Linked DNA regions of Macaca fascicularis. The main gene of each other region encodes a partner of the protein of the gene in region 2 in a complex. Links are inferred from orthologs where the notes say so. Each region holds a gene or a part of one and is shown on either strand. Other genes may lie near its edges.

Region 1 (4,401 bases), on a different chromosome or scaffold from region 2:
AGCAAGCAAACCCATGAACTGATTATGCACTGCCACCATTTGCATCAGTTTAAAAGCAGGACGGCTCTGAGGGCAGGTATTAAAGAAATAGCAGGCCGGGCGCGGTGGCTCAAGCCTGTAATCCCAGCACTTTGGGAGGCCGAGACGGGCGGATCACGAGGTCAGGAGATTGAGACCGTCCTGGCTAACACGGTGAAACCCCGTCTCTACTAAAAAAATACAAAAAACTAGCCGGGCGAGGTGGCGGGCACCTGTAGTCCCAGCTACTCGGGAGGCTGAGGCAGGAGAATGGCGTGAACCCGGGAGGCGGAGCTTGCAGTGAGCTGAGATCTGGCCACTGCACTCCAGCCTGGGGGACTGAGCGAGACTCCATCTCAAAAAAAAAAAAAAAAAAAGAAATAGCGGCCAGGCCCAGTGCCTCATGCCTATAATCCCAGCCCTTTGGGGAGGACTGCCTGAGGCTAGGAATTTGAGACTGGCCTGGGCAACATATCCAGACCTGTCTTTAAAAAAAAAAAAAAAAAAAAAAAGATTAGCTGGGCAAGGTGGAGCACCTGTAGTCGCAGCTACTCAGGAGGCTGAAGCAGAAAGATCGCTTGAGCCCAGGCTGCAATGTACTGGGGACCCATCATTGCACTCCAGCCTGGGTGATACAGCAAGACCGTGTCTCAAACAAAACAAAACAAAACAAAACAAAACAAGACCAGGTGCGGTGGCTCATGCCTGTAATCCCAGCACTTTGGGAAGACGAAGAGGGCAAATCACGAGGTCAGGAAATCGAGACCATCCTGGCCAATGTGGTGAAATCCCGTCTCTACTAAAAATACAAAAATTAGCTGACTGTGGTGGTGCATGCCTGCAATCCCAGCTATTCAGGAGGTTGAGGCAGGAGAATCGCTTGAACCAAGGAGTTGGAGGTTTCAGTGAGGTGAGATCATGCCACTGCACTCCAGCCTGGCGACAGAGCAAGACTCGTCTCAAAAAATAAAAAAATCAAACAAACACAAAAAACTACCCAGCTACAAATTAGGCATCCTCCCACTTGGTCCTTTTTCAGACTCATTTTGGCTTAATGGTGCCTTCCCCATTTTAAAAGCGGTCTCTTACTCATAGTGCCCCAGCCTTTTGAAGGCACAGGAACAGGAGCTGGGCTACCACCTTCAAGGGCTGTCAAAGATGGTGTGGTCTGAAGCCAAAGGTGAGCACACCAAACTCCATGGGGGCTGAACGCTGTGGTCTGTAGTGTCTGTGCTTCTGCAGGGTTAGCCTGGTCCCAGAAAGAGGGCATGTGCATGCTGGAGTGAAGAGCAAAATTTGATTTCCAAGACCCTGGCAGGGGTCCAGAGGGAGGGCAGGGGCCACCTCCTGCCGGCTCCCTGCTACTGTTGCTCAGGGCCGGCCGTCTTGGTGGTCACCAGTTCAGTGGAGCCCAGCTCTGTGGCTGGCACAGGGACACTGTGGCCAGGTGGGGTGGTTCCTGGGTCTTCCCCAGGAGGAGGCCAGGCAGGAGCTGCGGCATCAGAGATTCCCGGAGACAGAATGATGACCTTGTCCAGGGGTTCTGGGGCAGGGCAGAGGGGATAGAGGCTCGGTACTGGGTCACAGCCTTCTCTCCCTCCCCTAGAAGACTCCTCTGGAGGGGCAGTACTCCGTCAAATGAAGCCCACTGCAGGGTGGGGAGGGGTGGCACATGGCTGACCCTGAGTTCAGAGGCCTGGCCAGTGGGGAGCTGGCAGGGCAGGGAGTTGGGGAGCTGGGGCTGTCTGGCAAACCCTGCAGGGATTTATGGGGGAATCAAGCTCCGTTAGACTCCCAAAGGGCAGGACAGGCTCCTCCTTCAGACGGGGCCCCCTTCCCGCGAACTGTCTCTTCCTCACACTGGGGTATGGCAGGGCAGAGCTGTTCCTGGCTCCGACCAGGGTCTCAGGCGCAGGACTATGTCTCCGTCCCCAGCCTGAGCTCCTCAGAGCAAACTCTTTTCCGCTCTCTGTCTCCGTTTCCCCTTACAGCCCTTCACTACTCCCAGGGGCCATGCATCACCCCCTAGGCCGTCCCGACACCCCAGCCCCTGTGCCCCGCTCGGACTGGTTCCGCTACACACGGAACTCACCGTCCTTGTCCTTGTCTCCGTCGGGGGCCTCTGCGGAGGACGCGCCGCGAAGCCGCCGCTGTCGCCGCCTCCAGCTCACCAGGCCCACCAGGACCAGCGCCAGGACCAGTGCCAGGCCCAGCAGCGCGGGGGCGCCGAAGAGCAGCCCGGGTAGGGACAGCGCCGCCTCGCCGGCCCCCGCGCCCACCGACTCTTGCGGCTGCAGCGCCGTCCTGGGCGCAGGGCTGCTGGCCGGGGCTGCTGCGGGAGGGGACAGGGAGGGAGGGCAGGGGGCCGAGGGGAGGGAGGAGCGGGGACGGGGAGGGGCGGAGGGGGGCGAGGCTGGCCGGGGAGGGGAGGGACAGCCGGGGGGGGGCGGTGGACAAGGGGAGGGAGAGAGGCGGCGGTGAGGGCCGCGCGGTGATGGCGGGCCCCTCCAGGCCCTGCCCACAGGGTCCTTTCAGCCCTCGGCGCCCCCAGGGGTCGGGGCTCTGCCTTCGCCGTGGCGGTCGGGGCCCCGTCCTCCCCGCGGCTGCCGGCGCCGCGCGCCCGGTGGGTCCTCCTTACCCGGTTTCGGCCGCGGCGTGCGCAGGAGTCCGCAGGCCACGCAGTGCCGGACCAGCAGGTCGAAGCACTCGGCCGGGACGCAGGGCGTGGGGGCTGGCGCGTCCCTGCCCCGCAGGCTCCGGGGCCCTCGCTTCATGGTGCCGGCGCCTCCGCACAAGTGGGGACTGAGGCTGAGTGGGCCTCCGGGGCCCTCGGGGAGGAAGCGGGGAGGCGGGGGGAACACTCTGCCCTGCCCTGCCCCCGCCTGCTGGGTGGGACCGAGCTCTCCTGGGGCCCCCCTTTCTTTGTTTCTTTCTTTCTTTTCTTTTTTTTTTTTTTTTTTGAGATGGAGTCTCGCTCTGTTGCCCAGGCTGGAGTGCAATGGCGCGATATCGGCTCACTGCAAGCTCTGCCTCCCAGGTTCGAGCAATTAGCTGCCTCAGCCTCCTGAGTAGCTGGGATTGTAGGCGCCCACCGCCACGCCCGGCTAATTTTTGTATTTTTAGTAGAGATGGGGTTTCACCATCTTGGCCAGGCTGGTTTTGAACTCCTGACCTCGTGATCCACCCGCCTCGGCCTCCCAAAGTGCTGGGATTATAGGCGTGAGCCACCGCGCCGGGCCTGGCCTCTCTTTCTTCCTATGGTTCCCCAGTTCAGTCACTCAACCAGCACCACCTGGGTGGGCCCTCTGCTGGGTGCTGGGACCGTCTGGGGGCAGACCAGAGCCTCCTCTTGGGTAGGGAGGTGGATGGAGCCAGGACACAGACCGTGAGTGGTTCCTCTGCTCCCTCTAGCCAAGGCTGCTCCATGACCTCGGATGCTTCCCCACTATCTCTCCCACCCCATTTATCTCCGCTTCTAGGGAGTCCTCCTGCCCTTCCTGGACAGAGGCGGTTGGGGACATCAGACACCTGCTTTTTTTTTTGAAACGGAGTCTGGCTTTGTACAGTGGTGCAATCTCGGCTCACTGCAACTTCTGCCTCCCAGATTCAAGCGATTCTCCTGCCTCAGCCTCCCAAGTAGCTGGGATTACAGGCATGTGTCACCACGCCCGGCTAATTTTTGTATTTTTAACAGAGACGGGGTTTCACCATTTGGCCAGGCTGGTCTGGAACTCCTGACCTCAGGTGATCCACCCTCCTCGGCCTCCCAAAGTGCTGGGATTACAGGCGTGAGCCACAGTGCCCAGCCTGACATCAGACACTTGTACCAGTCCCAAGTAGCATGTGGGTCTGCCCCAAGGGAATTTCACACTTGTGCTGATGGGGGAAGACAGCCTCGCAGCAAGGGTACCGGCTCATGTCATCCTGGAAGGTGGGCTAGAAGGCTTCATGGAGGGGGTGATGGTGAAGTATTTGCCAGATGGAGTGAGGTCTAGGGAACAGATGGGGGTGAAGGCCAAAGGGGAGCAAATGCTTGGAGGCCCAAACAGGAAGTCCAGGGAGTGCTGGGACCAAAGGGCTGGACTGGGGCCTTATCTAGCACATTAGGGAGCTTGGACTGTGGCTGGAGGACACGAGGGAGCCACTGGGGCTTTGTGCAGAGAGTGCCCAGGAAGATCTGCCTATGAGCAAGGGACCTGTGACTGCAGTGGAGGGAAGCCTGCCCACACTGGCTCCTTTTCTCCAGGGCTGTGTGTCCTCTCCCGCTACCTCCGTCTCTCACTGCGGGTCTCTCCTGTCTATCTCTGCTCCCCAGTGTTTGGGGTCCCCAACTGTCTGTCACCCGTGTCTCAGACTGAGTCTGTCACCCGTGTCTCAGACTGA
Region 2 (2,820 bases):
TTGGTCATTTTTGAAGAGTTAATTTCATTGTTGTTTTTGATTATGAAGACAAATGTGGTTATATAATAAAACAAAATATAAGAGGTTGTGAAAAATAATCCAGATAATGCTTAAACCCATAGTCTGAACTCTCAAGAAAAACTATATTAATAAATGTGGTATCTTAAGAAATGGTGTTTTCTTCACTTTTTAATATTTATGCTTTTCATATGTATGTTTAAAATATAATTAGGAATATCTAGTATATATATGTGTGTGTAATTTTTCATGTTTTTATTTAACATTATTATAAAAACTTTCCTTGTCAACAAAATTAAATAAAAATCATCACTAATCATTTAATATTCTATCAAGGGATGTGCCATGATTTACCTAATTTTTTAAAAAGTTATATATTGGGCTTCTTTTGGGGAACTCCATTTTTTAAAGAGTAGGTGATAAATTCATACATATCTGTTGTAACTCCTTTTGCTTATTTCTTCTAAATTTTTTTAGGCTAAGATAATTGCAATGGTTTAGAAGCCAACTGGTATATTCTGAAGTGTGGATGCCTATGTTAACATTTTTTTTTACAGAACAAAATAGTTTTATTTAGGTTTTTTTCTTTTCTGTTGTATAACCACTTATAGTTCTTGTAAATCATTTTTTCCTAGGCATTGCAAAACTGGAAGAAGGAGATGAACTTCAACTTGCAATACCACGAGAAAATGCACAAATATCACTGGATGGAGATGTCACATTTTTTGGTGCATTGAAACTGCTGTGACCTACTTATACCATGTCTGTAACTATTTTCTTCCCTTTCTCTGTACCTCTAAGAAGAAAGAATCTAACTGGATATACCACAAAAAAAAAAAAAAGTAGTTACCGTTGGCTTTTCTGTGAGCTATTTGTTTTGGTTTGCTGAAACTAGTCCAAAACAGGAAATTTAACAGACAGCCACAGCCAAAGAGTGTCATGTGAATTACAAGAAACCAGAGCCCATTTAGGGAAAGATAGAACTAGAAAGGCTTTTCACTATAATTCCATGCTGAACAATTGAGTCATAGCTTCTTATCTTGGAGGAAGGACACAATTCAAAGGGGCAGTAAGGATTTTGTAAAATGTGGCATCCATAATTTACTATGGAACCAGTGCCCACATCTCTAGGACATTAAGACATTTATGAGAAATCTCAGGATTCATTTTCTATTTTTATGTTAAATGCACTCCCTCCTTTTTGGTCAACATTACAAAAAGTAAAAAATAAAAATTTTAGAAATCTTGCAGTAGTTACATGAAATAACTAAAAGTTTAAATTTAAATATGAAACAACTTGGCTGAAAATAGTATCCATGTACTATTTAAGTATTTTATGGTTATTTCAAGTATGCGATTTCTATCTATGATGTAATATATTACCCACACATTTTTTCACGGGAGAGAGAGAATATCCTCATCTGTTTATGCTCATGTGTATTTCCTATAATGAATTTCAGAAACATTTAATATCAGGTAATTTCAATTTATGCATGTAAAGCATTGATTGAAAAATAACTATAATTGTTCATATATAACAACATAATCTCCAACAGAAGTTACTGAATACATTTATACTAATGTAATGTAATTTCTCTTTATTTCTTCCTCTTCTGTTTCAAACTGCTGCTATTATAGTTTACACATCCCAACCTTTAAAAATATTCCTCTTATTAGTTTTATATTCACTTTATAGAGGTTGAGTTTTAATTAAAATTCTTGGCATCCTGAAGTATGTCACGTACCATGTACTCCTTATAAATATGTTGATATCTCAGAAGACATCATCCCGGTTTTCATTTTATAAAGTACCATACTTAAGAATGCTGTAATACTTATATTTTATAACATGTTTCCTTTGCTTTGCTTGTCTTTTATGTCATTAGTTTTAACTGTTTACTTCATTTAACAGTTTACATCATTCAACAGTTTACTTCATTAAACAGTAGGTGGAAAAGTAGATGCCAGTCTATGAAAATGTTCCCATCTATATCAAAATACTTTTCAAGGATATACTTTTCAAAACAAAGAAAACCATTTACATTTTATGTTTAAAATCTAAACTTTAAGTTTAAACTTTGTTTAGATATCTGGTTCCTATGATTTCAACTTCAGTAAGTTCAAATAAAATATATTTTGCAGTTCATTTTGTTTTACATTGTAATTTAAAAAGAAGAAGCGATAAGTGGAGTCAGAGTTTCAATGCTAGGAGGGGTGGTTAATGATTTTTCTGGTGTTGCTGCTAATATGGATTAACAAATAAAAACCTTCATTGCCTTTTGCCTCATTGACTGAGTTTGTCTAGCAACACCCACCTTTTGCATTCTCACTGTATAATTAAATGTTATTTTTAAAATCAGGTGAAACATGATAAATTAATTTGTGTTAGGATACGATAGTTTGGAAATGTGAATATTTTCCATATCTGAAAAAGGATCTGTTCACATCTGCATCTGTCTAACTACTTCATTTTAAACTATTTAGAAGGAGACATCAGTTATATTATTACCTTTAGAGTTGAATTTATCCAACAGTACAGTATATTTTGTGGGATTTTTAGTACAATATTAAGTATATATTATTGGTATAATATTGAGTATTAATATATATACTTATAATATTACGTAGATGTATAACTGAGAAAAGCTAATACCAGGCCAAGCATTCTTCTCCTGAGGAACTGACTATGAGGTGGTAAAATTCAACCAGGACAAGCATCTTGTAGGGATCACAAAAGGCATCACTGAGGGCAATCTCATTGGCAGCAACCTCTTATCACATATTGGGCCCAACCCCCGCTCT
Region 3 (4,182 bases), on a different chromosome or scaffold from region 2:
CATTGAAACAAGACATCACTTCAGCAGGCCTGTTTGCAACTTCTGGGATATACGAGGTGTTAGCAGTGATTACTTGTGGATGCTTGGAGTGTGGATTTTTAAAATGGTTTTTTATCTGCTCATCTGTATTTGTAAATTTTCAACAATGGAACATAGATTATTGCATTATTATTATAATACCCCAAACCTATCTTCCCTTCAGCCCTCTTTCCACGAGCTCTTACCCTAAATGTCTCTTTTTCTGTCAGTGGCATTGTGAGTCTTCCTTAGTGCATCACCTCTGATCTTCCTGTAGAGTTTTTTTTTTTTTTGAGATAAGAGTCTCAAAAAAAGACTCTATCTCAAAAAAAGATAGATCCTCACTGCAACCTCCGCCTCCCGGGTTCAAGCACGTCTCCCTGACTCAGCCACCTGAGTAGCTGGGATTATAGGTGCCTGCCACCATGCGTGGCTAATTTTTGTATTTTTAGTAGAGATGGGGTTTCACCATGTTGGCCAGGCTGTTCTGGAACTCCTGATGTCAAATGATCCAACCACCTCAGCCTCCCAAAGTGCTGGGATTACAAGAGTGAGCCACAGCGCCCAGCCCACACCTGACTAATTTATTTTTTTATTTTTATTTTTATTTTTGAGACAGAGTCTCACTCTGCCGCCCAGGCTGGAGTGCAGTGGCCGGATCTCAGCTCACTGCAAGCTCCGCCTCCCGGGTTCACGCCATTCTCCTGCCTCAGCCTCCCGAGTAGTTGGGACTACAGGCGACCGCCACCTCGCCCGGCTAGTTTTTTGTATTTTTTAGTAGAGATGGGGTTTCACCGTGTTAGCCAGGATGGTCTTGGTCTCCTGACCTCGTGATCCGCCCGTCTCAGCCTCCCAAAGTGCTGGGATTACAGGCTTGAGCCAACACCTGACTAATTTTTAAAATGTTTTAGTAAAGACAGGGTTTTGCCATGTTGCCCAGGCTGGTTTTGAGCTCCTAGGCTCAAGTAATCATTTTGCCTTGGCCTCCCAAAGTCCTGGGATTACTGTTGTGAGTCCCTGCGCCTGGCCTCAATGTTAAGATCTTAAGGGGCACAGCACAGACCTTGTCTTGTCTATCTCCCTGGCACCTCTCACACAGTACAGCTCATTAACAGATGTTCCAGAAACTGTTACTGAACACGGCTTGATGCCGTGGGCTTGTCTGCATCTTGCAACTGTCACCTGGCTGAGAAATTTCTTCTATAAATAGCAGTTTCTGTTTCAGATGTGATTTGCCCCGATATTTACACCCCGTCTCTTACCCCGTCCACGACTCAAACTTAGAAACTTGTATTAGATGTGGTATTCAAATCCTTAGCTGCCGCAAAGAAACAGACGGCCCCGTAAGAACCCACGAAGCAGGCCAAGTTCATAGTTCTCGACATTCTAGCTGCTCTTGCTGCATTTGCTCCGGAATTCTTGTGGAGATATTACTTGTCCTTCCAGGCTGTTTTTTCTGTAGCTCCCTTGTTTTCTTTTCGTGATCATGTTGCAGATGGCTCGGCAGTGCTCCCAAAATGAATATTTTGACAGTTTGTTGCATGATTGCAAACCTTGTCAACTTCGATGTTCTAGTACTCCTCCTCTAACATGTCAGCGTTATTGCAATGCAAGTAAGTAATATCGCTTGAACGATTATTCATTGGTGTGAACTCTTCTGTCTCTATGGACTGCTTATTCAGAGAATCAACATAATGGGCATGATGGTGAGTTTTCTTGAATCAAAAAGAGAAAGGAAGCAAGGCAATAATTTTAACGTTTACAGAAACAACGTAATTATTTGGAACTCAACTCGATATGATTCAGCACTATTAGCAACATAGATTTTAAAAAAAATATCAGCTCTTGTAGTTAAGGATATTTAGAATTTAAAAGTCAATGTTCATTAATTAAGGTGATTGAATGGAAAAAATCCATACTTGATTATTTTGCTATCAAAATAATCCATAATTGATTATTTTAGCAAAATAATCAAGTATGACAGCCGGGTGTGGTGGCTCACACCTGTAATCCCAGCACTTTGGGAGGCTGAGGCGAGTGGATCACCTGAAGTCGGGAGTTTGAGACCAGGCTGGCCAACGTGGTGAAACCCCGTCTCTACTAAAAATACAAAAATTAGCTGGGCGTGGTGGTGCAGGTCTGTAATTCCAGCTACTCGGGAGGCTGAGGCAGGAGAATCGCTTGAACTCAGGAGGTGGAGGCTGCAGTGACCTGAGATCGCGCCACTGCACTCCAGCTTGGGCAATAGAGCAAGACTTCATCTTAAAATAAATAAATAAATAAATAACAACAATAAAGGATGTGAATATTATGTTATCAGCTCATTATCTGTCTGACATTCTTTTCATAAAGGTATGACCAATTCAGTGAAAGGAATGAATGCGATTCTCTGGACCTGTTTGGGACTGAGCTTGATAATTTCTTTGGCAGTTTTCGTGCTAACGTTTTTGCTAAGGAAGATGAGCTCTGAACCATTAAAGGATGAGTTTAAAAACACAGGTTGGTTTGATGGTGAATCTTTGAAATCTGTTTCCAGTGGATGGCTATTGTGAGTTTCAGTTCCTTTTCTTTTTTTAGCATTGACTATTTCACTTCATTACAGCCCTTTTGAATGTGTTAGAGCATAGTTATATTAAACGAGCTTGGTAGAGGCGAGCCATCTTCACTCTGATTTTGACACCTTGGCAGACTTTCTACAATGTCAGCCTTCCCCAGGATTCTTCCCTTATTAATTACTCTATTGAAAGTACTAAGGCTTTCTTGGGAAACATCAGTCTCTTTGTCTGAAGTTAGCACATCAATTAAATGCCACATTATCAGAAACTCCTAGCCAGGTCTGCTACTGTCAGGAAGAGCATATTTGTCAAGATCTAAGGCCATGTTATTATACAAGTATGTGTTGTTTGCTTGGGTGAACACTTTACTACTGAAAAATGTTAGAAATGAATAACCACTTGCTCCTGAATTATTTGAGGAATCATCTAAAAAATAATTATCTTTTTTAAGCAATAGAGAACTAGTTCCAGAAAAATGAATGTTCTACTTAAGTGCCTCTTAAGATAAAAATACTTCTGCAGCACCTTTGCTCGTGATTGGATTCCCTAGTATGTACAACCACTGCCCTATTTTTGTATGCATTTATGTATGTATGTATGTATGTATTTATTTAGAGACGGAGTCTCGCTCTGTGGCCCATGCTGGAGTGCAGTGGCATGATCTCAACTCACTACAGCCTCTGCCTCTTGGGTTCAAACGATTCTCCCACCTCAGCCTCCTGAGTAACTGGGACTATAGGCATGTGCCACCACGTCCAACTAATTTTTGTACTTTTTGGTAGAGACAGGGTTTCATCATGTTGGCCAGGATGGTCTCAAGTTCCTGAACACAACTGATCTGCCCTCCTCGGCTTCCCAAAGTGCTGGGATTACAGATGTGAGCCACCGTGCCCAGCACATACTCATTCTTTTTTACTGAAAAGATCTGTTTCAAGCTGGGTGTGGTGGCATGGAGCTGTAGTCCCAACTACTCTGGAGGCAAACGTGGGAGGATTGCTTGAGCCCAGGAATTTGAATGTAGCCTGGCAACATAGTAAGACCCCATATCTAAAAAATGAAAAAATCTCTCTCACATTGCTTTGAGTCCCGATGTGTACTGGTAAGACTCTCACGATCACACACTCTGTCAAGTTTAGGTTAATGTTTCTGTTTCTGCATAATCAGGATCAGGTCTCCTGGGCATGGCTAACATTGACCTGGAAAAGGGCAGGACTGGTGATGAAATTGTTCTTCCAAGAGGCCTGGAGTACACGGTGGAAGAATGCACCTGTGAAGACTGCATCAAGAATAAACCAAAGGTTGATTCTGACCATTGCTTTCCACTCCCAGCCATGGAGGAAGGCGCAACCATTCTCGTCACCACGAAAACGAATGACTATTGCAATAGCCTGTCAGCTGCTTTGAGTGTTACGGAGATAGAGAAATCAATTTCTGCTAGGTAATTAACCATTTCAACTCCTGCAGTGCCACTTTAAAAATCTTTTGTTGGAATAGATGATGTGTCAGATCTCTTTAGGATGACTATATTTTTCAGTTGCTGATATAGCTTTTTGTCTAACCATGGAAACTCTTTATGTTAGATATATTTCTCTAGGTTACTGTCGGGAGC

Evidence for each region.
Region 1: the proteins of TNFSF13B (region 2) and TNFRSF13C are in contact, whole or in part, in a crystal structure (PDB 1OQE), measured with the Homo sapiens proteins. The link is inferred for Macaca fascicularis from reciprocal best matches to the Homo sapiens genes TNFSF13B and TNFRSF13C. Residues at the interface, in NP_006564.1 of Homo sapiens: Ser162, Tyr163, Asp203, Thr205, Tyr206, Ala207, Met208, Gly209, His210, Leu211, Thr228, Arg231, Cys232, Ile233, Pro264, Arg265, Glu266, Asn267, Ala268; in NP_443177.1 of Homo sapiens: Asp26, Leu27, Leu28, Val29, Arg30, Val33, Leu37, Leu38, Arg39, Pro41, Arg42.
Region 3: the proteins of TNFSF13B (region 2) and TNFRSF17 are in contact, whole or in part, in a crystal structure (PDB 1OQD), measured with the Homo sapiens proteins. The link is inferred for Macaca fascicularis from reciprocal best matches to the Homo sapiens genes TNFSF13B and TNFRSF17. Residues at the interface, in NP_006564.1 of Homo sapiens: Ser162, Tyr163, Lys204, Thr205, Tyr206, Ala207, Met208, Gly209, His210, Arg231, Cys232, Ile233, Glu238, Pro264, Arg265, Glu266, Asn267; in NP_001183.2 of Homo sapiens: Tyr13, Asp15, Ser16, Leu17, Leu18, His19, Ile22, Arg27, Ser29, Ser30, Asn31, Thr32, Pro33, Pro34, Leu35.

The regions. Positions count from the first base shown.
Region 1 is NC_088384.1:9,679,345-9,683,745, reverse strand, and holds the start of TNFRSF13C (tumor necrosis factor receptor superfamily member 13C), read right to left. Parts: upstream 2,823-4,401; 5' UTR 2,793-2,822; coding exon 2,657-2,792; intron 2,432-2,656; coding exon 2,111-2,431; intron 1,562-2,110; coding exon 1,380-1,561; 3' UTR 1-1,379. UniProt on the Homo sapiens protein: B-cell receptor specific for TNFSF13B/TALL1/BAFF/BLyS. Promotes the survival of mature B-cells and the B-cell response.
Region 2 is NC_088391.1:99,006,762-99,009,581, forward strand, and holds the end of TNFSF13B (tumor necrosis factor ligand superfamily member 13B), read left to right. Parts: intron 1-653; coding exon 654-766; 3' UTR 767-2,295; downstream 2,296-2,820. UniProt on the Homo sapiens protein: Cytokine that binds to TNFRSF13B/TACI and TNFRSF17/BCMA. TNFSF13/APRIL binds to the same 2 receptors. Together, they form a 2 ligands -2 receptors pathway involved in the stimulation of B- and T-cell function and the regulation of humoral immunity.
Region 3 is NC_088394.1:12,668,587-12,672,768, forward strand, and holds the start of TNFRSF17 (tumor necrosis factor receptor superfamily member 17), read left to right. Parts: upstream 1-1,289; 5' UTR 1,290-1,504; coding exon 1,505-1,631; exon of another isoform or gene 1,632-1,733; intron 1,734-2,370; coding exon 2,371-2,517; intron 2,518-3,646; exon of another isoform or gene 3,647-3,737; coding exon 3,738-4,015; 3' UTR 4,016-4,182. UniProt on the Homo sapiens protein: Receptor for TNFSF13B/BLyS/BAFF and TNFSF13/APRIL. Promotes B-cell survival and plays a role in the regulation of humoral immunity. Activates NF-kappa-B and JNK.